Linked DNA regions of Oryctolagus cuniculus. The protein of the gene in region 5 binds, or shares a complex with, the protein of the main gene of each other region. Links are inferred from orthologs where the notes say so. Each region holds a gene or a part of one and is shown on either strand. Other genes may lie near its edges.

Region 1 (3,500 bases), on a different chromosome or scaffold from region 5:
TGGGGTGGCTGGAGCTGGGCTTCATGGGCGAGGGGCACAGTAGTACCGGCCTTGGGAAGGGCATTCCTGATGGGGCAGGGTCGTCCTGCTGTGCGGGCTCCAGAAGGGACGTGTATTCTGGTGGTGAGCAGGGATGGGGACCAGAGTGGTGGCTCGGCCAGAGGAGGCGGAGGAGTGGAGGACGAGTGTTTTGGTAGTATGGCTGCTTGGCTTTGGCTGGGGAGCTTGAAACAGCTTTTGCCACTGAATCCGTGTGGTCACCCTGGCAACAGGGTGGTGGTTGCTAGGCACAGGGAGCCGGTTTGCAGTGCAGAGCCCGTGGCTGTGAAGCGTGCGGGAGGCTGGCACGTCGCGTCAGAGCCCGGATCTGTGGCTCTCGGATGGCACTTCTCCCCCTCTTCCTCCTACCCACCCCCGGGCCTTGTCTGCTCTCCTTATCTGCCTTGCTCACTCTCTGACCATATATGTCATTTTTTTGGGCTCCAGGAATGCGGCTGGGCGTACAGCAACCTCTTCCCTGGGGTTGGACCAAATGGGTTGAATTAAAGCCCCCCTCGCCACCCGGGTGGTGAGCTTGTGGCAGGAAAGGGAGTTGCTTCCCTTCCTTCCTTGGGGCTGCAGGCCGGAGGTGCCTGCCCCGCTCTGCTGCAGGCTTCCTCCTCCTGGCGGCCACATCTAGGCCTGGGAAACCCTTGCTCCCTGCTGTGGCCTCTCTTCTCAGCACCCCAGGTGTCGTGAGCGCCCCCTTGCCCTCCGTGTCCTTGGAGCAGTCTTTTCCACCTTGACACTAGTGCCGGGTGCTCCCCGGCGGGTTCAGCATGGCCTGGAAGCCCCTAGAAGCCTGCGGATTGTCTGCTGTTGACTGGCAGGCAGGTTCCGTCCCTCCTGCTGGCTCCCATCCCAGGGCAAACCCAGTGGGGCCCCTGAGGCAGGCCTTTTTTCTGGGACCTGTGGTCTCTAGCCAGGGGAGGGTTGGAGCGGCCAGGGCCTCAGCTGACCTGTTTCAGGCGTGGGGTGCAGCGCTGTAACTGCTGGGGCCTGCAAGTCTATGCTCTGGGCCTCCGGAGAGGGGGGCGCCGACCTCCGGCCTCTGCAGCTGGGTCTGCCTGACCAGGCCAGCCAGGGGTCAGGCGGCGTGGGACCTGGCACAGCAGGAGGACCTGAAGGGGGAGGCCGAGCCGTGCTGCCCTCCGCTCCAGCTGCCTTTCCTGGCATCTCACTCCCTGGAGTTCTTGGCAGGATGACAGGGGCTGAGGGACAGGGACCAGGGAGCTTGGGGGAGGGTGGGGGAGGGCAGGGTGCTCACCGTAGATGCTGCGAAAGATAACTCCAGAGGTCGCTGACCCTGGCCCGCCGCCATGCCTCCCCTCGCAGGGTGCCCCTCGGCTTCTGCAGGGCGACAGGCTTGGCCATGGATCCGCTGTCAGAGCTGCAAGACTATGACCTGATCCTGGACGACTCGAGCCAGGCGCTGAACCAGCTGAAGCTGGCCTCCATCGACGAGAAGAACTGGCCCTCGGATGAGATGCCCGACTTTCCCAAGTCAGGTGGGCAGTGCCGCATCTCGGGCAGCGGTGGGCAGTTTAGCAGGGGAGACCCCCACACTGCTGAAGGGAGACCCTGCAAGGCAGGATGGGGGCAAGCAGACCGGCCCGGGGCTGGGGTCGAGCTGGGGCGCAAGTCTTACCAGGGGGAGGGCCAAAGAGCGAGTATCTCGGAGAGCACATGGGAGCAGCCCCCCAGATCATCCTGACTTTGCCGTGTTCCCCAGATGACTCCAAGAGCAGCTCCCCAGAACCCGTCACACACCTGAAGTGGGATGACCCCTACTACGACATCGCCCGGCACCAGATCGTGGAGGTGGCAGGTGAGCGCCCCCAGCTGCGAACCTTTTCCCCCCGGGGTGCTTCCGGCCCAGAGAAGCCACCCTTCCCGCCGAGCTGCCCTGTGGGCTGACCCCAGCCCGGGGCACCATCCTTCAAAAGCCCAGACTTGACGGTGGCTGCTCCTTGACCTGTGACCTGCACCTGCCTCCTGACCCATGAGCCTCTGCCTCCCCTGCTCCATTTGCAGATGATACGAAGGAGGCTGTGTGGCCCAGTGGCTTTGAAGTCGAGAGGCCTGGGTTTGGGGCCCAGCTCTCTCTCTCTCTCTCTCTGAGCTTCTTTCTTCCTTGTTTGGCCGCTGAGAGGACTGTAGTCATGAATGTGTGTCAGGGCCTAGCCTGGAGCCAGCACGATTAGAGGCCCTGAGTGAGTGGCCTTCCCTCTCCCTCACTGCGTTCCCCTCCCTCCCCTTGGCACTGACGTCAGCCTTCCCACCCCATCAGTTACTGGGAAGGGGGCCAGGAACCCTGGAACAGGCAGTGGCTCCTTCCAGAAGTGAGGGGCCACGTGACTCCCTGGAGCACTGGTGTCAAGGCACGTGTGCTGCCCTGTGGGTTCTGGGTGGGGACCTCCCTTCCTCCTGTTCAGAAGTGAGGAGCCAGGAGAACCCAGGAGCGGGGGAGACAACGAGATGTTGATGACTTGGTTCCTGCCGTTAGGGTCCCACTGCCGGAAGAGGCCGCTGGAACTTTAGGATCCTTTGTCTTTTCCCGGTGGTTGTCTGTCTTTGCTGGTGAGCAGGGGGACAGCATGGCCCTGCTCAGAGGCTTTGGGTGAGCAAGGGGAGCCAGGCAGAAGCTGGCCCTGGAACCCAGTGTGGTGCTGCCTCAGAGGACCCTGGAGGAAGCCATGTGCTGGCCACAGGGAAGCAGCTGGGAGCGCTATCCCTCCATCACCCCATCAAAGGTGTTCCTGGTGCCTGCCGTGGTCTGGGGTAGAGGCGAGCTCTGGCCTGTGTTACCCCTGCAGAATTCTGGCCGGGGCTGAGCTGGGCCTGGGCACAGGAGACACCCTTCCCTCCACCACCACTGCACCCGATTGGTGTGGAGAATGTCCGATGTGAGGAGTCGCTCCGCTGCCTGGCCCCTGAAGTCCCACACAACACAGAGCTGCAAGCGCGTGTCTTTCCCCGGGGTGTGACGAGCCTGAGGGGCCCAGCTCCCTGTGGCTGCAGCTCTCGTGGAGGCCAAGTGGTATCAGCTTATTTGCAGCCGCACTCTGGGGAGCTGGGGGCTGGTGGGGTCGGGGAGCAGGAAGTAGCGAAGGATTTATAGGAGGCATGACAGGGTGGAGGCGAGGTGGGGACACACCCAGAGGCCACAGGGAAAGGAGTTCCAGGGCCGGGAGGCGCCCCATTCATACTGGGCCTGGACACTGGGTGCTGGCGTCCAGCCTGGGCGTGCCCCCTAATGTGAGCACGAGGAGCCTGCACGGGCACTGCCAGGGTGACGAGCCATGGCGCCGTCCCAGCGGGCCAGTTTCTTGCAGCCGGAATCATGGAAAAGAGCCCCTGTGGGAGGGGACGCGGTGTCTCCAGTCCCTGTGCAGCCTCCCCTCTCCGTGCTTCTCCGTCAGGTCAGATGCCAGGGGCTTCCTCCCAGCGGTTGCCAGTAA
Region 2 (4,105 bases), on a different chromosome or scaffold from region 5:
CTGCCAGGGCTTCCTCGAGATCAGGTCTCAGGTCCTTAACGTCCCAGAAGGCAGAGTGGGGGGAGCCATAAGTGGTGAGAACACCTGGGCCCCCGCCTTGCCCTGAGCAGGTTCTGGGCTCCTTCGCGGCCCCCTGGTCAGCCCCCACCCCACCGGTGCTATGCCGAGGCTCTCACTGGGCGTCCCCACTAATTCAGTGGGGAACAGAAGGAGCCACGGGAAGAGTCTCACATCCAGGCTGGACACTGGGCCCCAGGTCTGGGGCTCCACGCCGACCCTCAGATGCCCTCCCTCCCCAGATCCCAGAAGAGAAGGCAGAGTAGACTCGGGAGGTGACTGGGGAGGGCCTGTCTCTGCCCTTGACTAGCTGCGTGCCCTTGAGCAAGTCCCTCAGTTTCCCATCTCTGGTAGAGGGTCAGCAACACCTACCGGCCGAGTGGTCATCAGGGAAGGCGGGCAGAGCCCTGGAAGCAGCAGGCACCAGACACTGTTAACCCCAGGCCGGCGGCCACCCCGGGTCTCTGCAGGAAAGCGTCCAGGAGAGTCCTTTTCCTCCTCTGCCCCCTGCTCCTTGACCAGCCTGGCCGGCCCTGGCCGCGGGCCCCGGTCCTCGCTGCTCCCTGGCGCTGCCCTGGCTACCCAGCTACTGGCTGCCTGCTCTTCCCTAGGGGTGCCCCATCCCCAACCAGCACCCCCCTCCCGGATGCCGGCTGGACGCACAGACGCTGCAGTGGGACAGGTGGCAGGGGTCTCCTTTGGCCTGGATCCGCGCCCCTCCCACCCTGTTTTGGGGCTCCCGCTTGCAGATGGTTCCCTCTGGTCCTTAGCGCTCTCCAAGCTGGCGAAACCGAGCGGACACGAGACGTGGGGGGCCTGGAAGGGGGTTCCCACTCTCCATGCGGGGACCTGAGAGGGGGACGGAGCCCTGCAGCCCTGCGCCCCAGCGCCGCACCGCCACGGAGTCTAAGTCGCGCTCGCCACAGCTGAGAAGCCTACCTCGGAGGTGTGCCCCCTGCTCTCCCCGTGCGCCCCCGTGGTGCGACCCCTTTCATCCAGACCCAGCCGCACCCCCGCCCCCGGCGGAGAGGGAACTGCGGTTCTAGGACCCGGAGGCGCCGCCGCGCGCGCCGCCGCCTTGGCCTCGCTTCGGTCTCCTCCCGCTCCGGCAGGTGAAGTGGCGCCGGCCGCCCCCTCTGCGGCAGGTGAAGCGGGCCGGCCGCCCCCTCCCCGCCGCGCCATGGCCGCGGTGGACCCCCGGCCGCCACCCGGCGCCCGCCCCCTCCCTCCAGCCCGCCCCGCTGCGGCCGGGCACGCAGCGGCGGCGGCGGCGCACGGGGAGCGACAGCAGAAGTTCGAACATCGCCGAGGGGGGAGCCCGCGCCGCAGCTTCCTGCCCCCGGCCCGGCCCTCTGGCCCCGCGGCCTGCAGCCTGACTTCCTCCCCCACCCTGCAGCGCGCCGCCTGGCTCCCTCGGACCGGGCCGCCCCGATGGGACGCCGCGCCCCGGCTCCTGCGCGCCGCTGAGCCGAGCGCCCGCCGAGCGGAGCCGAGCCGAGCCCCGCCGCCGCCTGCCGCTGCCCCCTCGCCCTCCGGATCGGGAGCCTAGTCCCATCCCCCGGAAAGCTGGATTTCCGAGGTTGGAGGCGACTGGCCGACTGGGTGGGGACCACCATGGGCAACGCGGCCGGCAGTGCGGAGCAGCCCGCGAGCCCCGCCACGCCGCCCCCCAAGCAGCCCGTGGCCCCCAAGCAGCCGATGCCCGCGGCAGGGGAGCTGGAGGAGAGGTTTACCCGGGCGCTGGTGAGTGCTGCCGGTGCGCGGGGGCGGGCGGGGGGCCGCAGGGGCTGGGCTCGCATCCCCGCCCCCGGGGGCTCAGGTACCGCTTGGAGAGCCTGGCCCGGCGGGACCCCTCCGGGGGTGGCAGCGACAGTGGCTTTTTTCAGAGTGACTTAGCACGCTTCCCCCAAAACTTTCTTCTGCGGCAGCCCAGCCTTCCCCCCGCAGAGCCCCTGCCCCACCTCGCTCACGCGCTCCCGGTCTGAAGGTCTTTCACGGACCGTCCCGCGAGCAAGTTGGGAGCTGGAGCAGTCTAGGTGCGGGGGCGCGGCGCCCCCTTCCCATTGCGCGCAGGCCCGGCCGCCGGGCGCGGGTCCGGAGCATCCGCCCTTGGGCTCGCTCCATCCGAAGCGTGGAAGCTGGGACGGGTTCTGCTTTAGCCTCATGGGAACCAGAGACCTAGCGAAGGTGTTTAGCCAAGAATCGTGCGGGGCCTGGGCGGCTGGGAGGCCGGGCAGCGGGTGGGTCTGTGTGTCCCACAGCGCTTCGCAGGTGGCGGCCAGAGGTGGGTCGGGTCTTGGGCGCCCCTCCCCAGGCGTCCGTGGAGTACGGTCAGGAAGGGCAGGGTCAGGATGCTTTGGTCACTTTGGCTTGGGATTGAAGCAAAAATCTGGAAGCCCCCCTACCTCCACCACCACTGTCTGGGGGTCTGTAGGAGGGGAGGGGTCCACCAGCTCAGGCTGAGGCCGGTTGCAGTCAAAGTGTGCTTGCTTGGTGCTGCAGGGAGCTCGGAGCAGAGGCAGGGGACCCCAAGACTGGCAGGAGGCAGAAGTAGGGGAGGGGAGAGCCACTTAGTCCCACTTCCGCCTCCCAGCCCAGCCCTGTCCCCGGCTCCCTGGTGGCCTGTCCACCGTCAAGGCTCCCTTGCTGGACAGTGGTGACAGCAAATAAGGCCCTGCTCGTCCTCTGAGCAGGCTGGCCCTGCCGGGCTGAGGCAGGTGCGGGCCCAGGGCGGCTTCCTACCTCCCAGACACCGTTTCCCTCCCGTCCCCTGGCTGGCCGTCGGGCCACACTTGCCAGGTCCACTCTTCATGGCCCCAGAGGAGAGCCTCCCAGCAGTTCCTGAAAATCTTGGCTGCTGCCTTCTCCCAGGAGAGCAGGAAGAGCCATCCGGAGCACCCTGGGCGGAGTGGGAGCTGCGGGTGCCTGGCTTGGCTGGGTGGGTGGGAGCTCCCAGGGACACACCACTTCCCCGACTTCCCCACCGTCCCACCTGCCCCCACTTCCCTCCTCCCAGACCCAGGGCTTGGCAGAGCTGAGCTGAGCAGACAGGGAAGGGGAAGAACCAGGGTGTGTCTGGACCCCCACCGATCCGTCTTGGCCCCCTCTAGCGTCTTTTCATGGATGGGGGTGGGGCTGCCCTTGGTGACGTCCAGGCCCCCCTGTCTGTTCTGGTTTGCACACGATGGGGAGGAGCCCTGTGAATAATTCAGAGCAGTGGAAAATCCAAAAGTCAAATGGTGAGCTCTGATGCGTGTGGGGGACTGGATTGCCCTGCCCTGGTTTGTGGCTGTAACACAAAATGCCCCTGGGAGTCCCTGAGGTTCGGGCGTGGAAGGAGGCAGAAGTGGGCCTTACTGGGTGTCTGCGTGGACAGTGGGTGGTGGAAATCTGGGGCAGTCCTGCTGGTAGAAATCAGGGGTTCACACCCCACTTCCCCTGGTCCCCAGGCACCCCCTGTGCTCACACCTTCTTCCTGGGGAGCGTCAGCCCATTGTGGGCAGGGCAGATCCAACCTCAGGTCACTCAAGTAAGAACTGGGCTCCTATGACTCCCCAGCAGCAAGAGATAGCCCCCCCCCCAAGCAATAGCCTTGACCTCTGATGGGAGCTGTCCAAGGCTAGAGCTTTGGCTGACCCACAGGTCTGGCAGGGGTGTTGCAGGGTGGGGCGCCCCCTGGTCATCACACCCCCTGGGGCCAGAGCTTGGTCCCCATCCTTAGTCAATGTCAAAGAAACCACCCTCAGGGTCCCCCAGACTGTGGGCAAAGCACAGAGCTGTCCTTGAGTGGCCTTGGGGAGCTTTTTCCTTTTCCTTAAGCTTAGTACTGGTGGGGAGTCGGATCCCAGCCCCCAACTCCTCCTCCCTTCCTGGCAGTGGAGGGCGAGTGGTCCGCCTCTCAAGCCCACAGCCAGACAGGCGGTACAGGGAGCCTTTCTCCCATGCAAGGACGGGGGGGCACCTTTCCAAGCAGGCTGAAGAGAGAGGGGTGCCCCAAGCTTAAAATGGGGGTGGGGAGAAAGAGCAGGTTGAGCCAAGGTGCCGGTTG
Region 3 (4,193 bases), on a different chromosome or scaffold from region 5:
ATTCATCCCCTCCTCTCAGCCATCTATCTGCCACCTGTCTATGCACTTATTCATCCAGCCACACGTCCATGAACCTGCTCATCCATCCACATACCTACCCGTTTGCCCCTCCATTCACCCACTTATCCATCCAGAGACACAAAGCAGAATCAGCACTCACCCCCTTGGTCTCCACCTGGGTGTGAGGGCAAGGGTGGGAGCCCCCCTCTTCTCTCTGGATAGATGGAAAGGGGAAAGTGCTATCACCATCCTGCCACAGGTTCTTGGGCAGGGCCCCTTTTATTGCTACTTGTGCTAGAGGACTCACCTTCATTGGCTGGTGCTGGTGGTGGGGGTAGCTGCCGTCTGTCTGTTGGGGAGCCAAAATCATGATGGGGCTTTTGTAGTTTGCCACCTTTACATTCATCTCTGTGCAACCTCCTTATTACCCCCAAGGCCTCCTCACCTCCACTTTTCCTCTGATTCCTTTTTTGTATCTTCTCTTGCACCAGGGCCCGGAAGGCCTGGGCCTCACCCTCATCTGCAAAGTTCAGGCCCGCTTGGCAGTCCTGCACATGCCTCAGGGTCAGCAGCCTTCCAGGCCCCTCACACCTTTAGCACCCCCTCCCCATGCTCCCTACTGCTGCGCAGGGGTTGGTTGATCACTTACATCTCCGGCAAAGGTGTGGAAGAAGGGGGTGGGAGTGGAGTAGACCAGCTGTGAGTACAGCTCCTGTTCCCAGAGCAGCCGGCCAGCCTGGAGAGGTGCAGGATAGGGGACACACTGGCACGGAGGCACCCTCTGGGTGGGTGACAAGCTGTTATCTGGGCAGGGAGCGTGGTGTCTGGATTTGGGGCTCTGGAGTCTAATTTTGGAGATATTCAGCTCAGTATCAGAGGGAGTGGGGGCTGGGTGTCAGAATCGGAGGGTTGAGATATCGTCTGAGTATCAGACTCTGCGGTGGGAACTGGGTCGTGGTTTGGAAAACTTATGACTGCAAGACCCGGGAAATTGAGGCTCACACATAGACTCACTTGATCCTGCACTGCCCCAACTCCATGGAAGGTAGGCTTTTAGGATTTGGGAGTTGGGGTTGAGATTTGAGGTTCAGACATATAGACTTGGCAGTTGGGGGAGGAGTCCAGACAAAGTATGTGCATTTTAGGGTTTGTAGAGCAGACTTAGAGCTGTGGTGTTTGATCAATAGTTGATGGCTTTGGCATCTTGAAGTGATGGTAGGTCCATCTTTATGGATTTAGGAGGATGAATTTGGGTGTAAGCCTGGAAAGTTTGGGTTGGAGGTTGATAAGACAGGTCTGTTTTTTGCTGCAGCACTACCTCCTTATTTGGGTGTTCAGAAGTGTTAATGTGGAAATTCTGGGGTCCTTGCTGTGGGCTTAAAAAGACTGATTTGGGGGGCTGCGCTGTGGCATAGTAGGTAAAGCCACCACCTGCAGTGCCGGCATTCCATATGGGCGCCGGTTCGAGTCCCAGCTGCTCCATTTCTGATCCAGCTCTCTGCTATGGCCTGGGAAAGCAGTAAAAGATGCCCAAGTCCTTGGGCCCCTGCACCCACATGGGAGACCCAGAGGAGGCTCCTGGCTTTGGATCAGTGCAGCTCCGGCCATTGCTGCCAATTGGGGAGTGAACCAGCAGGTGGAAGACCTCTCTCTCTCTCTCTCTCTCTCTCCTTCTCTGTGTAACTCTGACTTAAATTAATAAATAAATAAAGACTGATTTGGAGTTTGAGAAGTTCAAGACTCAATGAAATCTTCAGGTTCTGGGTCTGAGCAACAACAGGCTTATGACTTAGGAGCTGGGCAAACATCTGGGGCTCAGGAGTTTTGATGGAGGATTTCCTAAGATGCAACATGTCAAGCTGGGAACAGATTTGAGGTACAGGCATAAATCAAATGGTCAGTTTTTAGAATTTGTAGACCCAATTGGGCCTGGGAGGTGGTCTAATATTTGGGGGTTGAGATACCATGATATGGAGACTCTGGGGTCAGTCATTGTGAAGTCAAAAAGGCAAACCAGAGTTTGAGACCTGGGGGAGGGAGCCTTAGTTCTAGGGTTCAGGGATTTGCTCATCTGGTCCCAGGGCTCAGAGCTATGTATGGGCAAAGGTCTGGCTTTGCAGGTTGAGGTCGGGTTTGCCTATCCATTGAGGGGAGGGTCACCTGAAGGCCGTAAAGGCGGATGAAGTAGGACTTCTGGGGGTTATCCTTCACGAAGCACACAGCCCCACAATGCTCCTTGGTCCAGTGCTCGGCTCCAGGGGGCAGCGCCAGGTACAGCTGAACAACTGCAGTGGCCAGCGTCTAGGAGGGAGAGCAGGGATCAGTGGGTCTGGTCTGGTCGTGGGGGGAGCCAGACCTGGGCCTTCCTGTGCCCCTGTCATGGGCCTGAAGGAAGAGTTGCAGCCCGAAGGAAGGTGAGGAGGCCTCGGGATCTTCCTGGGATGGGTGAGCAGTGGAAAAGTGGCTTCTAGGAGAGGGGCTGATGGGGAGGCAGAGGAGGAGGGGGAGATGGAGAGGGAGAGGCAAAGGGTGGGGAGGATGAGGAGGCAGGAGGGAGAGGAAGAAGAGGAAGGGAGGGCCGGGAGATCCCCAGCTCACCCAGCATTTTCGTCCAAGCATCTCGAAGAGTCGCTGGTTCTCGTGGTCCTGAAGCAGGGTGGAGGGAATGTTCTGCTTAACCTCAGGTGCTCCTCGACCCCCGGGCCTGCCTCCCACAGGGCCCCCACTCATGGTGCCTTCTGTCCTTGTCCTCTCCGCCTAGGCTCGGGGTGCAGGGTAAGAAGAGGAACTTCCGCAGTGAGCAAGGGAACAGGAAGTACAAAAAAACCACAAGAGAAACAAGTCCTCCAGGGGGCCTCTCAGTAGGCCTGGCCTCGTCCTCCCCACGGGCCCTCCTCTGTTGGACTGCTTAGACCCATCTTTTTTAACTAGCTCAGGTCCTTCTCCTTCAGTCTTATCCTCTGGGGCCCACCTCCTCCAACAAACTCAGAGCTTCCTCTCTCTGGCTGGCAGCAGGAGCTGAGCCATCTGCAGTACTTCTGCAGGGCTGGCTGGGGCGAGGAGGAGCCATCAGGCTGGGAATCCTCCCTCTGCCCCAAAACACCATAGACTCCGGGGCCCAGGTCCAAGACTTTTCCCTTTAATTCCATAGCAAGCCCCTGGGAGCCCACTCCTATCTTGAGCCACAGATATTGCCAACAGGGTACACACCCCTAGGTCACTTCCCTTACCCTTGTCTCCTGTAGCAACCAAATTATTTTCTGCCCATCAGCCCTTTTTTGTTTTTATTTTGTTTATTTATTTGAAAGGTAGAGTGACAGAGAGAGAGAAAGAGAGAGAGAATCTTCCATATGCTGGTTCACTCTCTAAATGGCTATAGCAGTGAGGGTAGGGCCAGGCCAGGAGCCCAGAACCCCATCTAGGTCTCCCACGTGGGTACAGGGGCCCAAGCACTTGGGTCGTCTGCTGCTGCCTTCCTAGGTGGATTAGCAGGGAGCTGGATCGGAAGTGGAGCAGCCAGAATTTGTACTGGTGCTCCCACATGGGCTCCCAGTGTCACAGCTTATGGCTTAACTCACTGCACCCCAGCGCCGTCCCTCAGCTCTTTATATATATATATATTTTTTAATTTTTAAAAATCATTTATTTATTTATTTGAAAGACAGGGATAGAGAAGGAGAGAAAGAGAGATATCTTCAATCTTCTGGTTCACTCCCCAAAATGCCGCAACGGCCGAAGCTGGGCCGATCTGAAGCCAGAGGCCTGTAGCTTCTTCCGGGTTGCCCACATGAGTGCTGGGGCCCAAGCACTTGGGCCATCTTCCACTGCTTTCCCAGGAGCATTAGCAGGGAGCTGGATCGGAAGCGGAGCAGTCAGGACTTGAACTGGCGCCCATATGGGAGGCCAGCACCACAAGTGGCAGCTTTACCTGCTATGCCACAGCACCGGGCCCCTTCGCTCAGCTCTTTATTAAAATAAAGGAACTTTATGGAGCCAGGGCTGTGGCGCAGCGGGTTAAAGCCCTGGCCTGAAGCACCGGCATCCCATATGGCTGCTGGTTCAAGTCCCAGCTGCTCCACTTCTGATCCAGCTCTCTGCTATGGCCTGGGAAAGCAGTACAAGATAGCCCAGTACTTGGGCCCCTCTACCTGTGTGGGAGACCTGGCAAAAGCTCCTGGCTCCTGGCTTCAGAT
Region 4 (2,522 bases), on a different chromosome or scaffold from region 5:
CAGTCACTTCGCTGAGCCCGGGCAGTGACGTCAGCCCTGGCCTCCTGCCTCCCCCACCCGCCCACGCAGGCCAGGGCCCTTCCTCTCTGTCCAGCAGCCCGGGAAAGCTCAGGCCAGAAAACCAGGCCGAAAAGGCCCTGATAACGGCACGGAGATAGGGTGCAGAGATAGGGTGCAGAGAGGAAGCTGAGACACAGTGCGGCCGTGGCCACGCCGAGGATACTGAAGTCACGTGCTGCCTTCTGCCCTTGGGGGACTACACAGGGCAGCTGGCGGGGGTCCTCCGTGCTTCCTGTCGCTGTGGGGGTGAGACACCCTGCAGGACACCCCTCAGGGGCGGCTGGGCCCCGGCAGACACCGTCCGGGCTGCTTAGACCCGAGGCCCCTGCCGTCACCCACTCACACAACACCATCTGTTCCCATGACAGCTGACTGTTGGCAGATGGCCACGGACCCCCGGGGGCTCTGTGATTCGCAGGCACCACGCAAGATACAAATGTAGGGCCCCTCCTCAAAATTGTTACAGATTTTGGGACAAGAATCTGAAAGCCTGAAACCGTGCAGGGCTCCTCTGAGCGTGGCCCCGGGTCGCTGGCAGCCGGAGCCTCAGAGAGGCCAGATGGCTGTGTCCAGGCAGCATGTGCCTCCACGCGGACTGGTCGGTTAGCCAGGAGGACGACGGCCCGGACTTCCGTGGGAGACGGGTGGGGAGCCTAAGGGGGTCCCGTGCTTCCAGGTCCTGCCTACCTGGTCCTCTTCCTACCTGAAGAAAGCGCTAGGGCCGCGTTGTGCCCGGTGGAGAATTCTGTGTCCTGCAGGCCAGCATGGTGTCCTGTGTCCGAGGCTGACGCACACCTCCTGGGGCTCTCACACCCGCCCAGCAGGATGTGTGGCTTGTGTGGCAGGCGTGTGCGTCTAGCATTCAGGCCCAGCGTCCGGCGAGCTCTGCCAGCCCCCGCCCCCCCCCCCCCCCCGCCCCATGGCAGGTGAGGCTCCCGGGGCCGTCACAGCCGGCCGGTGTGAGGTCGTCCTGGCTCTGCCCTGCTGCAGACGCCTCCGCAGCGGTTCCCGCGGCTGTGCCCGCCCGGCGCCGTGTCCTCACGCACGGAGAAGCTGGAGACGCCGTACGGGTGACGGGCGGCTCCGCGCCCCGTGCTCACCGCGGCCTGTGTGGACGCTGCTCCCCTCCCTTCCAGGACCTGCTCGAGATGCAGTATGAGGGCGTGGCCGTGATGAAGATGTTCGACAAGGTCAAGGTGAACGTGAACCTGCTCATCTACCTGCTCAACAAGAAGTTCTACGGGAAGTGAGGCGGCCGCGCCTCGCACCGGGCCTCACCGCGGAAGGGATGCGTTGAGTATTTTTTTTAAACACGATCAGAATCACTGCTTAGAAACGTGTGATTTTTTTTTTCAAAGACCAAAACTGTCCTGGAAAACGTACCCATGTGCCTTCTTGCCAAATCCGTGCCACGCTGGAGTGAGACGTGGAGCTGGTGGGTGTGGGGCGCCGGCGGTGCCGTGGCGACACCGTGGCTGCTGTCAGCAGGAGATGCGCTGACCGGGCCCCGTGTCACCCGGCGCTGTGAGCGGTCCGAGCGCCCTCCTGAGCCCCGGGACGCTTCCTGGATTTCTTGTTTTTCTCAGCCGTGGGGAAATAGAAACCTGATGATTTGAATGAATTATTAGACAGTTCTAAGCCCTGTCTTCTGGGAATTACTGATTTTAAAGAGAAATTTTGTGCAATTCAAAATGGGGTTTCCCGAGTGATTGAAGGTGACGATCACCCTGTCCCCTGTCCGTGCTGAAGCCTGCGCTGTACGCGGTCCGTTCCTGGAGGGGAAAGCACTACTGGGCGGGCCAGGGCCCGGGACGACCCCTGCCGTGCGCCCGGCCCCGCCCCGCCCCCACAGCTCAGCTCAGCACTTCAGCTGTGACGCTATGAAATCGGTGTCTAGATGGCTCCAAAGTGTATTCTCTGCAAATTGTTTTACGTAAAATAAACATTGCTTGATGACATGGATTTGGCTTTTATCTTAAACCCAAATCATTTCATGGGCACAAGATTCCTGATGGGGCAGAGCAGGCAGACACTGCCCGGGCACTGTGCTGGTTGTCCTGTCGCTGTGCCCGGTACCCGGTCACTGCACTGGTCACCTAGTGCTGGTCACCCCAGTCACTGCACTAGGTACCCTAGTGCTAGTTACCCCAGTCACTGCACTAGTCACCTAGTGCTAGTCACCCCAGTCACTGCACTAGTCACCCTAGTGCTAGTTATCTCAGTCACTGCACTAGTCACCCTAGTGCTAGTTACCCCAGTCACTGCACTAGTCACCCTAGTGCTAGTCACCCCAGTCACTGCACTAGTCACCCTAGTGCTAGTTATCTCAGTCACTGTACTAGTCACCCTAGTGCTAGTTATCTCAGTCACTGCACTAGTCACCCTAGTGCTAGTTACCCCAGTCACTGCACTAGTCACCCTAGTGCTAGTCACCCCAGTCACTGCACTAGTCACCCTAGTGC
Region 5 (3,500 bases):
CACAATAATTGGCATATTACATAGGATTCTTTCGGATACAGCCCTTTTCTTTGAGTCTGAAAAAAAATATGGGAGCAGGCATTTCGCCTAGCAGTTAAGATAGTCACATACTATATTGGAGTGCCTGGGTTTGAATCTTGGCTCTGCTCCTTATTCTAGCTTCCTGCTAATGTTCACCTTGGGAGGCGGCAGGTGATAACTCAAGTATTTGGATTCTTACCACCCACTTGGGAGACCTAGATTAAGTACCTGGCTCACAGCTTTGGACTGGCCCAACTCCAGCCCTGGATGTTATGTGCATTTAGGAAGTCAACGAATGTTAGGTGCTCTGTCTCTCCTGCTTCTTAAAGAGAGAGAGAGAGAAATTGAAGCAATCCAGGATCAGAAACTTAGAAAATCGACTGTTGTTACTATGACTTTGAGTAAGTCATTATTTCCCCCTTTAGAGTCCTTCAGTCGTGGTAGTTGTGCTAGCTCTGTTCTTTCTGTGAAGAGATTTTTGCCATTTGAGGGAAAAAATATGTAAGTATAAATAAAACAAATATTTAAATCTTTTTCTAGGTCATCATCAAGTTTGAATACTTAAAGTGGATACAAAACTATTTCAGCAATGCAGACGATTAAGTGCGTTGTTGTGGGCGATGGTGCTGTTGGTAAAACATGTCTCCTGATTTCCTACACAACAAACAAATTTCCATCTGAGTATGTGCCGACTGTGAGTATAAAGGCTTCCATCTGTTAATGAAATGTATTATAATTTGATACCTTTTGACAATGCTTTCTCTGCTGAAATTTTTCTGTTGTCTACCTTGTTTCCTATTTTTAAAGAGCTTAACTTCTCATGAGTAAATTATATACACTTTAAAATTAGCAGAAAAATCAGTGGAAAGTTGGAAGGGGTGATATAAGGGTTTGCAAGAAATTTTGGGAGGCAAACTCCATAGACAGGATTCTGACCAGTGGTGGTGTCAGTTTAGAGACATATGCCCTATGTCTTGGAATGAGATTTCTTTTGATATCTTGGCCAATAAATGACCAGCACTTGAAGGTCTCCTGGGATGCATTTGGGGTTCTGTAATTTCAAAGAAAATAATCTCTGTAGAGCTGTTCTCTGAGCAGCAATGGAGCATCACGCTGGTTCCTAGAGAAGACCTGTTTTGTTGCGAGAATACCAACAGAAAACTTTGGGAATCTTCCCTGACAGTTACTTTATTATCAGCTCCCCTGAAGGATAGAGGGAGGGATAATGAAGATACTGAAGTGATAGATGAGTTACTTAGAGTAACACCTATCTGTGAAAGATTATTTGGGAATCTAGTGTTTGTCCCAAATTGCTTGACCCATCCAATGGTATAATTGTGTTAAACATACTTGTTCCTTGAATGAGTAGAGGCCAGTTGGAGTTAGCCTGTCTTGGCCTCCACCTCTGGCAGGTTTAAATGTTTTGAAAGACTCGTATGTAATTAATGTGCAACTGGTATTCTTTGGAAGTGAAAAGGGAGAAAATGATTGGGTACTTGAGGTTAATGTTCAGAGACTTGAGCGTTATTAGGAAGGTAAATACAGGTTTAAGGTTTGGTGATTGCATTCTGTTGGGATTGATAGGCTCTATAAAGTTCCAGGGCAGGTAGTGAGTTAGGCCAAGGAAATAGGAGAAGAGAAGACAAAATTTCTTTGAGGAAGAGAATTGGAAAGTATAATTAAACTCAAAAGTCTTATTTTTGAACTGTTCCATATGAGGACAGTATAAATGGAAGACCTTTTAAAGTTGCAAGGGACTTTTAGAGATGTATGGGTCTTGTTTCAAATAAGGACAACTGTCAGGATTTTGTATTTCAGTCTCCATGAAGGTATTTACTCAGCGTTATTCAGAGTCTTATTTTATGACTGATTATTTGGTGATATTTAAGGTGGACTTGTGGGTGCTTCATATTTGTGTTTGTATGTGGATCTCCAGAAAAGGGGTAGAGTGGGAGGAAGAGTAGTGGTGGGATAAAATTTAAACTGAGCCTATTTAGGTAAATCAATGACAATAAAGCACAAAAAATGTTCTCATTGTTTATATAAGTTGTTATGAGATTGTGGTGCTTATTTGTATCCATTTATGAGCTGGGAGCTGCCACTTTTAGACTGATAGAAATTCAGAGCTAGAAGGGATCATACGTACCATCTTATCCATCTCTTCTGGGTTAGGAAATTCAGGCCAATTTAGGGATGAGACTTAGAAGTCTAAGTAATCAAACACACTGGTGTAGGTAGAGTCTAGAATGAAAGGCAGGGTTTCTGTTTGTTAGCCCAGCCTTGTATGTAAATAACCCTTTAAAGAAGGGCTATTTGAGTATCTTAAGTGTGTCTTAAATGAAATAACCTTTATAGTTTTCTGACTTCCTTACCATCTCCCTCTTGCCCTTGTTTCCGCTTTCCTTTACATCTAACTTAATTGATCTTCTAAACAACTCAGTATAATGGGAACCAGAAAATTATATTACATAGCCAGAAGATTAAGTGAGGCTGCTTTCAATATATAACATCCTCCTGATTAAAAAGCATTGCTTTTCTTAAAAAAATTTTTTTAAAAGATTTATCCATTCACTTGAAAGAGTTAACACAGAGAAGGAGAGGCAGAGAGAGCAAGGGGTGGGGGGAAGGTCTTCCATCCGCTGGGTCACTCCCCAGTTGGCCACAATGGCTGGAACTATGCTGATCCAAAGCTGGGAGCCAGGAGCTTCTTCAGATCTCCCACCTGGGTGCAGAGGCTCAAGGACTTGGGCCATCTTCCACTGCTTTCCCAGGCCACAACAGAGAGCTGGATCGGAAGTGGAATAGCTGGGACTCGAACTGGCGCCCATATGGGATGCTGGCACTGCAGGCAGCATCTTTACCCACTATGCCACAGCGCCAGCGCCTTAAAATTTTTTTTAATTAATTAATTTAAATTTTATTTCTTTTTAAAAAGGATTTATTAATTTGTTTGAAAGCAGAATTAGAGATAGATCTTCCATGTGCTGGTTCACTCCCCAAATGGCCATAATAGCCAGGGCTGGGCCAGATGGATACCAGGAGTCTCCAGTGTGGGTGGCAGGGTTTTCAAACAGTTGGGCCATTTTCTGCTTCTTTCCCAGGTGCGTTAGCAGGAAACTGGATCAGAAGTGAAGCAGGCCAGGACTTGAATCAGTGCTCATGTGGATGCTGGACTTGCAGACTGGGCTTAACTCGCTCTGCCAGAACACCAGTCCTTAATTTTGATTTTAAATTTAAAAACTTTGCTGTAAATCAACAGCTACATTTGTATGTGAAAGCATTGTTTTTCAATTAAAATTTTTCAAAGGAGCCCATAAATTAGTTTTGGCTCTTTTCCCATTAGCACCATTACCTCTCATTTTCACAAACTTAGTATAACCAAAATTAGTAGATAGAGTTTTTTAAAGGACTAAATGATCTATTTATAAATGAGGCATCTCGGCGGAGTAGATATCTTAGGTCATGTGGTTTGTACCCAA
Region 6 (3,500 bases), on a different chromosome or scaffold from region 5:
GACAGACTGGGCTTCCCTCGTGCCTTTTCTAATCAGCAAGGCACTAGAGAGAAGTTTCATCACAATCTGAGCCCAGGAAGTTACTTATTGAGAAAATTTGGTTATCTTTGTTGACTTCTAAGAATAGTGGCATTCCAATGATAGGTATTTGTTGCTTGTATTTCTGGTGCCACTATCCTGATCCAAGAAGCAGGTCCAGAGATAATCTCACAGAAGAAATACGCTGGGTTTGACATGGAACAAAGTCACCGTGAAGAGGTATGGATGAGGTAAGATGGTGTGAGCGCCTGCATCTTTGTTGACTCTTCCTGCATCATAGCTTTGTTCCAACATGGAATTGCTCATAACTACACTTGGGCATGACACTCAGAGCGAACACATATGACCAGCTCAGCGTGGGGTGCTGTGGGGCCATGGATTGCCAATATCAGCATACAGACTTCTAAACAATGCCAGGGTTAAGTTTACATTGTGAATTCCATTCCATTACATTATGGACTGCACATGACAGCTAAGAAAGGCCCAATTTATAGCTATGCATAATTCAAAGTTCTTTCTGAGAATCATTTTGCAGTTTCAGAACACTCTGAGGTAACTGGGTATTTTTGTTTTTAAAGGGGGGAGGGGCTACTGTAATATCCATAAACCTAGTAGAGCACAGCAAAAGTGCTCAGCAAATGTTAGCCATGATAGTTACTGTTAGTAATGACACTATCCCTTTGTATTCAAACATTTAAGTCCAAAAATCTTACAATCTCCTTGGTCCCAATCCTGATTTTCAAGGAAGTTCTCTGTTTACCATTTTTCTGCAAATTTCTTCAAGCAATTCTATTAATTCAACTGTCAGCCATGCCCAGACTGTCACAGCAATGTGGATTGCATGTAAGTACTGAAAGTGGCAGTGAGTGAGCAGTAATAATTGAAATGCAAAACCATGCAGCATGAGGACAACACAAAATACAACATGATGGAGATGGTAATTCCATGCTACACATTGATTGGCCCTGACAGACACACAGAGAGGGACATAAGTTGTCAAAATAAATAAATAAATAAATAAACAAAAAACCTGTAGCAACCTTTTAAGAGCATCAGGTGAGAAAGAGTAATAGTTTAGTAATGGTATTCCTCAGTGAGAACAGGTTCGCAGAAAAACCGAGAGCCACGCTTGGCGGTGCGAGCAGTAAAGGGCACAGTCTTCAGCACTGCATTGAGAATGACAGCCAAACAACACAGACAAAGAGAGGAGAAAGCCAAGATCCATCACATTAGTTCATGGTTAGTGCTTTGTTAATCATACCTGGGGACGGAGGTGGGGAGAGGGTGGGCAGGAAACGGGGAACATGAGGTACACTCCAGTTAGTTCATGGAAGTCTTTAAGAGTTTTTCAACCTGGGGCTTAGGAGCAGAGCAGAAAATGGAATGCATTCCAAGGAGAATAAAAACTGCTCGAGAGGGAGATACGCATCACCTCCTCTGGTAGATCAATCGCTTAGGTCAGGGACATAGAAAATGGACGTTGCATTCCTTACATAAAGCCAGGTGTCTTTGGGATGGAGACACATCCGGGTTAAACAGAACACCAAGTCCTTCGTTACAACATTGCATGCTTCCCTACCTACAAGTTCATCTTACTGTGGTGCTGAGACTAACCAGTGCTTACCTAGAGAGGAGATCTGTTCCTGGTCTCGTTCAGAGTAGGCTTTCTCTCTCAGTGTGGAGGAGGCAAGGACACATGCTCAACAATGGGGGCTTTAATTTGAAGGCCTCTGCAGGCCACTCAGAGTAGGCACACCTACGCCGAATGCACGTGCGCTGTGCGTAGAGAATGGCATCTCCATCGGCCACTGCCCTTTCAGACCTTATACTACTTCAATCTGAACCATTATTGACTCTTTAAAAAAAAATCCATAACTATCTTATCTGGCTTATCTGTGTCTAATTTCTCTATTTAATTCCCCTGGGTCTGAGTTGGTGAAAAAAATGTGTGGGTTTCACAGTTTGAGATCCCAATTTTCAGTGTTGGCTAAGCTATAATAAGAAATGAAAAAACATGACCAGGAATTAGGTTTTCTAAGAAATTAGGACAACTGGGAAAATGTGAATACTGACTAGATATCTGATATTAAGAACTTGTCAGTTTGGGTGGTAAGTAGAAAGGCCAATGCGGGGGCTGACGCTGTGGCACAGCAGGTAAAGCCACCACCTGCAGTGCCAGCATCCCATATGAGCGCCAGTTCAAGTCCTGGCTGCTCTACTTCCGATCCAGCTCTCTGCTGTGGCCTGGGAAAGCAGTACAAGATGGCCCAAGTCCTTGGGCCCCTGTGCCCGCGTGGGAGACCCAGAAGAAGCTCTGGGCTACTGGCTTTGGATCGGTGCAGCTCCTGCTGTTACAGCCAATTGAGGAGTGAACCAGCAGATGGAAGACCTCTCTCTCTGCCTCTCCTTCTCTCTCTGTGTAACTCTTTCAAATAAATCTTGAAAAAAAAAAGGGGGGGGGGGGAGGGTACTGTGGGTATGTTTTTATTTTTCTAGGGCCCCTATTTTTGGAAGACATTAAAGCAAAATATTTCCAAGTAGAATATGTATTGGATGTGCTTCAAAATAATCCCAAGGTACATGGGATTCTCTTCACTATGCTTTTGTCTATTTTTGAATTTTCCTATAATAAAAAGCTTATAAGTGTCTTAGACGCTGATACACAGCATTCATGTGCAACAGACATGAAAAAGTCACTTTGTGCCACTGCTACCAGACAATAGCCCAAATTATCATGGTGATCTGTAAGACAAAGTACAGCAACCCAGAAGAATTGGTTCAAACAGGAAACATGAGGCTAGAAGAACCACCCTGGGTTACACATGGTTCCTAGCTGGCAAAACAGCTAGTCACTAGCCCTGGGCTAGAAGCCCACTGGATCATCCATAGTAAAGTACCAGGCCCTGACTTCCTTTTGAGTTCAGGGACTCTGAATTAGAATAAGGAGGCTTCTAACTGGCATGCTGGGGAGAGCCTGCATGAATGGTAGTTAATACGAAGCTGAGTGGTCTTAGCTACATTTATGTATCAGGCAGGTGGGTAGGGGTGGCCATGAGGAACATGGAGATGATAAAATTGAAAATAATGGAAAACCATTAGGAGAAGCAGCACTGCTGAAACCTATAGGGTTCCAATGATACTGAGATATAGATCTTTCAGAGAGTGTGTTGGGCCAATACCGATGCTGCTATAATGTACTTCAACCCCTAGCATGGAGTCTCTGGGTATAATTCTAGATCTGAACGAAGTTGCCAACCCCTGGGCAAAAGACACTGCAAAATCTGCCTAGAGCCCAGTCCGCGTGAGGCTAGTGGGATCTCCACGTGCCACGGTATGGAGACATACTTTACCTGTGATAATGTCTTCAATGGCACCATCTTTTCCCTCATAAACATGTCTGTTATCTTTCACTTGCCGCCGCCTTAACTCTGCGATCAGTTCTTGCTGCTGCCTCTTTGACT

What was found.
Region 1: the proteins of CDC42 (region 5) and ARHGAP1 are in contact, whole or in part, in a crystal structure (PDB 1GRN), measured with the Homo sapiens proteins. The link is inferred for Oryctolagus cuniculus from reciprocal best matches to the Homo sapiens genes CDC42 and ARHGAP1. Residues at the interface, in NP_001034891.1 of Homo sapiens: Asp11, Gly12, Ala13, Tyr32, Val33, Pro34, Val36, Phe37, Gly60, Gln61, Glu62, Asp63, Tyr64, Arg66, Leu67, Leu70, Ser88, Glu91, Asn92, Glu95, Lys96, Asn132; in NP_004299.1 of Homo sapiens: Glu278, Gly279, Phe281, Arg282, Arg283, Ser284, Ala285, Asn286, Thr287, Gln288, Asn309, Glu310, Val316, Lys319, Arg323, Asn385, Lys386, Met387, Asn391, Val394, Val395, Pro398, Asn399, Trp402, Ala403, Lys404, Ala406, Ala407, Thr409, Leu410.
Region 2: the proteins of CDC42 (region 5) and FMNL1 are in contact, whole or in part, in a crystal structure (PDB 4YDH), measured with the Homo sapiens proteins. The link is inferred for Oryctolagus cuniculus from reciprocal best matches to the Homo sapiens genes CDC42 and FMNL1. Residues at the interface, in NP_001034891.1 of Homo sapiens: Val36, Phe37, Glu62, Asp63, Tyr64, Asp65, Arg66, Leu67, Arg68, Pro69, Leu70, Pro73, Lys94, Glu95, Lys96, Pro99, Glu100, His103, His104, Lys131, Asn132, Gln134; in NP_005883.3 of Homo sapiens: Cys45, Met46, Asn47, Leu48, Pro49, Lys52, Leu56, Tyr59, Lys63, Glu66, Leu67, Asp70, Gln71, Phe74, Tyr83, Arg122, Glu123, Glu125, Thr126, Ser127, Leu128, Arg129, Thr130, Asn131, His132, Ile133, Val136, His228, Met232, Arg235.
Region 3: the proteins of CDC42 (region 5) and WAS are in contact, whole or in part, in an NMR structure (PDB 1CEE), measured with the Homo sapiens proteins. The link is inferred for Oryctolagus cuniculus from reciprocal best matches to the Homo sapiens genes CDC42 and WAS. Residues at the interface, in NP_001034891.1 of Homo sapiens: Gln2, Tyr23, Thr24, Thr25, Val36, Phe37, Asp38, Asn39, Tyr40, Ala41, Val42, Thr43, Val44, Met45, Ile46, Gly47, Tyr64, Arg66, Leu67, Leu70, Lys153, Lys166, Asp170, Glu171, Ile173, Leu174, Leu177, Glu178, Pro179; in NP_000368.1 of Homo sapiens: Lys230, Lys231, Lys232, Ile233, Ser234, Lys235, Asp237, Ile238, Gly239, Ala240, Pro241, Ser242, Gly243, Phe244, Lys245, His246, Val247, Ser248, His249, Val250, Trp252, Phe258, Leu263, Asp264, Leu267, Leu270, Phe271, Ala274, Gly275, Ile276.
Region 4: the proteins of CDC42 (region 5) and IQGAP2 are in contact, whole or in part, in a crystal structure (PDB 5CJP), measured with the Homo sapiens proteins. The link is inferred for Oryctolagus cuniculus from reciprocal best matches to the Homo sapiens genes CDC42 and IQGAP2. Residues at the interface, in NP_001034891.1 of Homo sapiens: Gly12, Ala13, Ile21, Thr25, Asn26, Lys27, Phe28, Pro29, Ser30, Glu31, Tyr32, Val33, Pro34, Val36, Phe37, Asp38, Tyr40, Phe56, Tyr64, Leu70, Gln74, Gln116, Leu119, Asp122, Pro123, Ser124, Thr125, Glu127, Lys128, Lys131; in NP_006624.3 of Homo sapiens: Gln893, Thr894, Asn924, Tyr925, Ser927, Asn928, Gln929, Arg930, Glu931, Glu932, Arg976, Gly977, Asn979, Gln983, Asp1067, Leu1068, Leu1069, Pro1070, Tyr1071, Lys1191, Phe1192, Asn1193, Lys1196, Tyr1197, Leu1200, Val1201, Thr1202, Val1203, Ser1204, Lys1205.
Region 6: the proteins of CDC42 (region 5) and FMNL2 are in contact, whole or in part, in a crystal structure (PDB 4YC7), measured with the Homo sapiens proteins. The link is inferred for Oryctolagus cuniculus from reciprocal best matches to the Homo sapiens genes CDC42 and FMNL2. Residues at the interface, in NP_001034891.1 of Homo sapiens: Val36, Phe37, Asn39, Gln61, Glu62, Asp63, Tyr64, Asp65, Arg66, Leu67, Arg68, Pro69, Leu70, Pro73, Ser88, Glu91, Asn92, Lys94, Glu95, Lys96, Pro99, Glu100, Thr102, His103, His104, Pro106, Lys131, Asn132, Lys133; in NP_443137.2 of Homo sapiens: Ala41, Met42, Asn43, Leu44, Pro45, Lys48, Leu52, Tyr55, Lys59, Glu62, Leu63, Asp66, Gln67, Arg69, Phe70, Lys73, Tyr79, Arg108, Glu109, Ile112, Ser113, Leu114, Arg115, Thr116, Asn117, Ile119, Val122, Asp219, His222, Met226.

Annotation. Positions count from the first base shown.
Region 1 is NC_091432.1:19,236,916-19,240,415, forward strand, and holds part of ARHGAP1 (rho GTPase-activating protein 1), read left to right. Parts: intron 1-1,374; 5' UTR 1,375-1,411; coding exon 1,412-1,547; intron 1,548-1,771; coding exon 1,772-1,867; intron 1,868-3,500. UniProt on the Homo sapiens protein: GTPase activator for the Rho, Rac and Cdc42 proteins, converting them to the putatively inactive GDP-bound state. Cdc42 seems to be the preferred substrate.
Region 2 is NC_091448.1:18,420,434-18,424,538, forward strand, and holds the start of FMNL1 (formin-like protein 1), read left to right. Parts: upstream 1-1,305; 5' UTR 1,306-1,671; coding exon 1,672-1,800; intron 1,801-4,105. UniProt on the Homo sapiens protein: May play a role in the control of cell motility and survival of macrophages. Plays a role in the regulation of cell morphology and cytoskeletal organization. Required in the cortical actin filament dynamics and cell shape.
Region 3 is NC_091453.1:33,872,043-33,876,235, reverse strand, and holds the start of WAS (actin nucleation-promoting factor WAS), read right to left. Parts: upstream 2,801-4,193; 5' UTR 2,731-2,800; coding exon 2,599-2,730; intron 2,302-2,598; coding exon 2,161-2,301; intron 737-2,160; coding exon 650-736; intron 549-649; coding exon 446-548; intron 350-445; coding exon 308-349; intron 215-307; coding exon 161-214; intron 1-160. UniProt on the Homo sapiens protein: Effector protein for Rho-type GTPases that regulates actin filament reorganization via its interaction with the Arp2/3 complex. Important for efficient actin polymerization. Possible regulator of lymphocyte and platelet function.
Region 4 is NC_091445.1:1,169,375-1,171,896, forward strand, and holds the end of IQGAP2 (ras GTPase-activating-like protein IQGAP2), read left to right. Parts: intron 1-1,196; coding exon 1,197-1,310; 3' UTR 1,311-2,022; downstream 2,023-2,522. UniProt on the Homo sapiens protein: Binds to activated CDC42 and RAC1 but does not seem to stimulate their GTPase activity. Associates with calmodulin.
Region 5 is NC_091438.1:148,699,289-148,702,788, reverse strand, and holds part of CDC42 (cell division control protein 42 homolog), read left to right. Parts: intron 1-157; exon of another isoform or gene 158-422; intron 423-561; 5' UTR 562-610; coding exon 611-715; intron 716-3,500. UniProt on the Homo sapiens protein: Plasma membrane-associated small GTPase which cycles between an active GTP-bound and an inactive GDP-bound state. In active state binds to a variety of effector proteins to regulate cellular responses. Involved in epithelial cell polarization processes.
Region 6 is NC_091434.1:89,233,057-89,236,556, forward strand, and holds part of FMNL2 (formin-like protein 2), read right to left. Parts: coding exon 3,390-3,500; intron 1,206-3,389; coding exon of another isoform or gene 1,114-1,205; exon of another isoform or gene 1,080-1,113; intron 1-1,079. UniProt on the Homo sapiens protein: Plays a role in the regulation of cell morphology and cytoskeletal organization. Required in the cortical actin filament dynamics.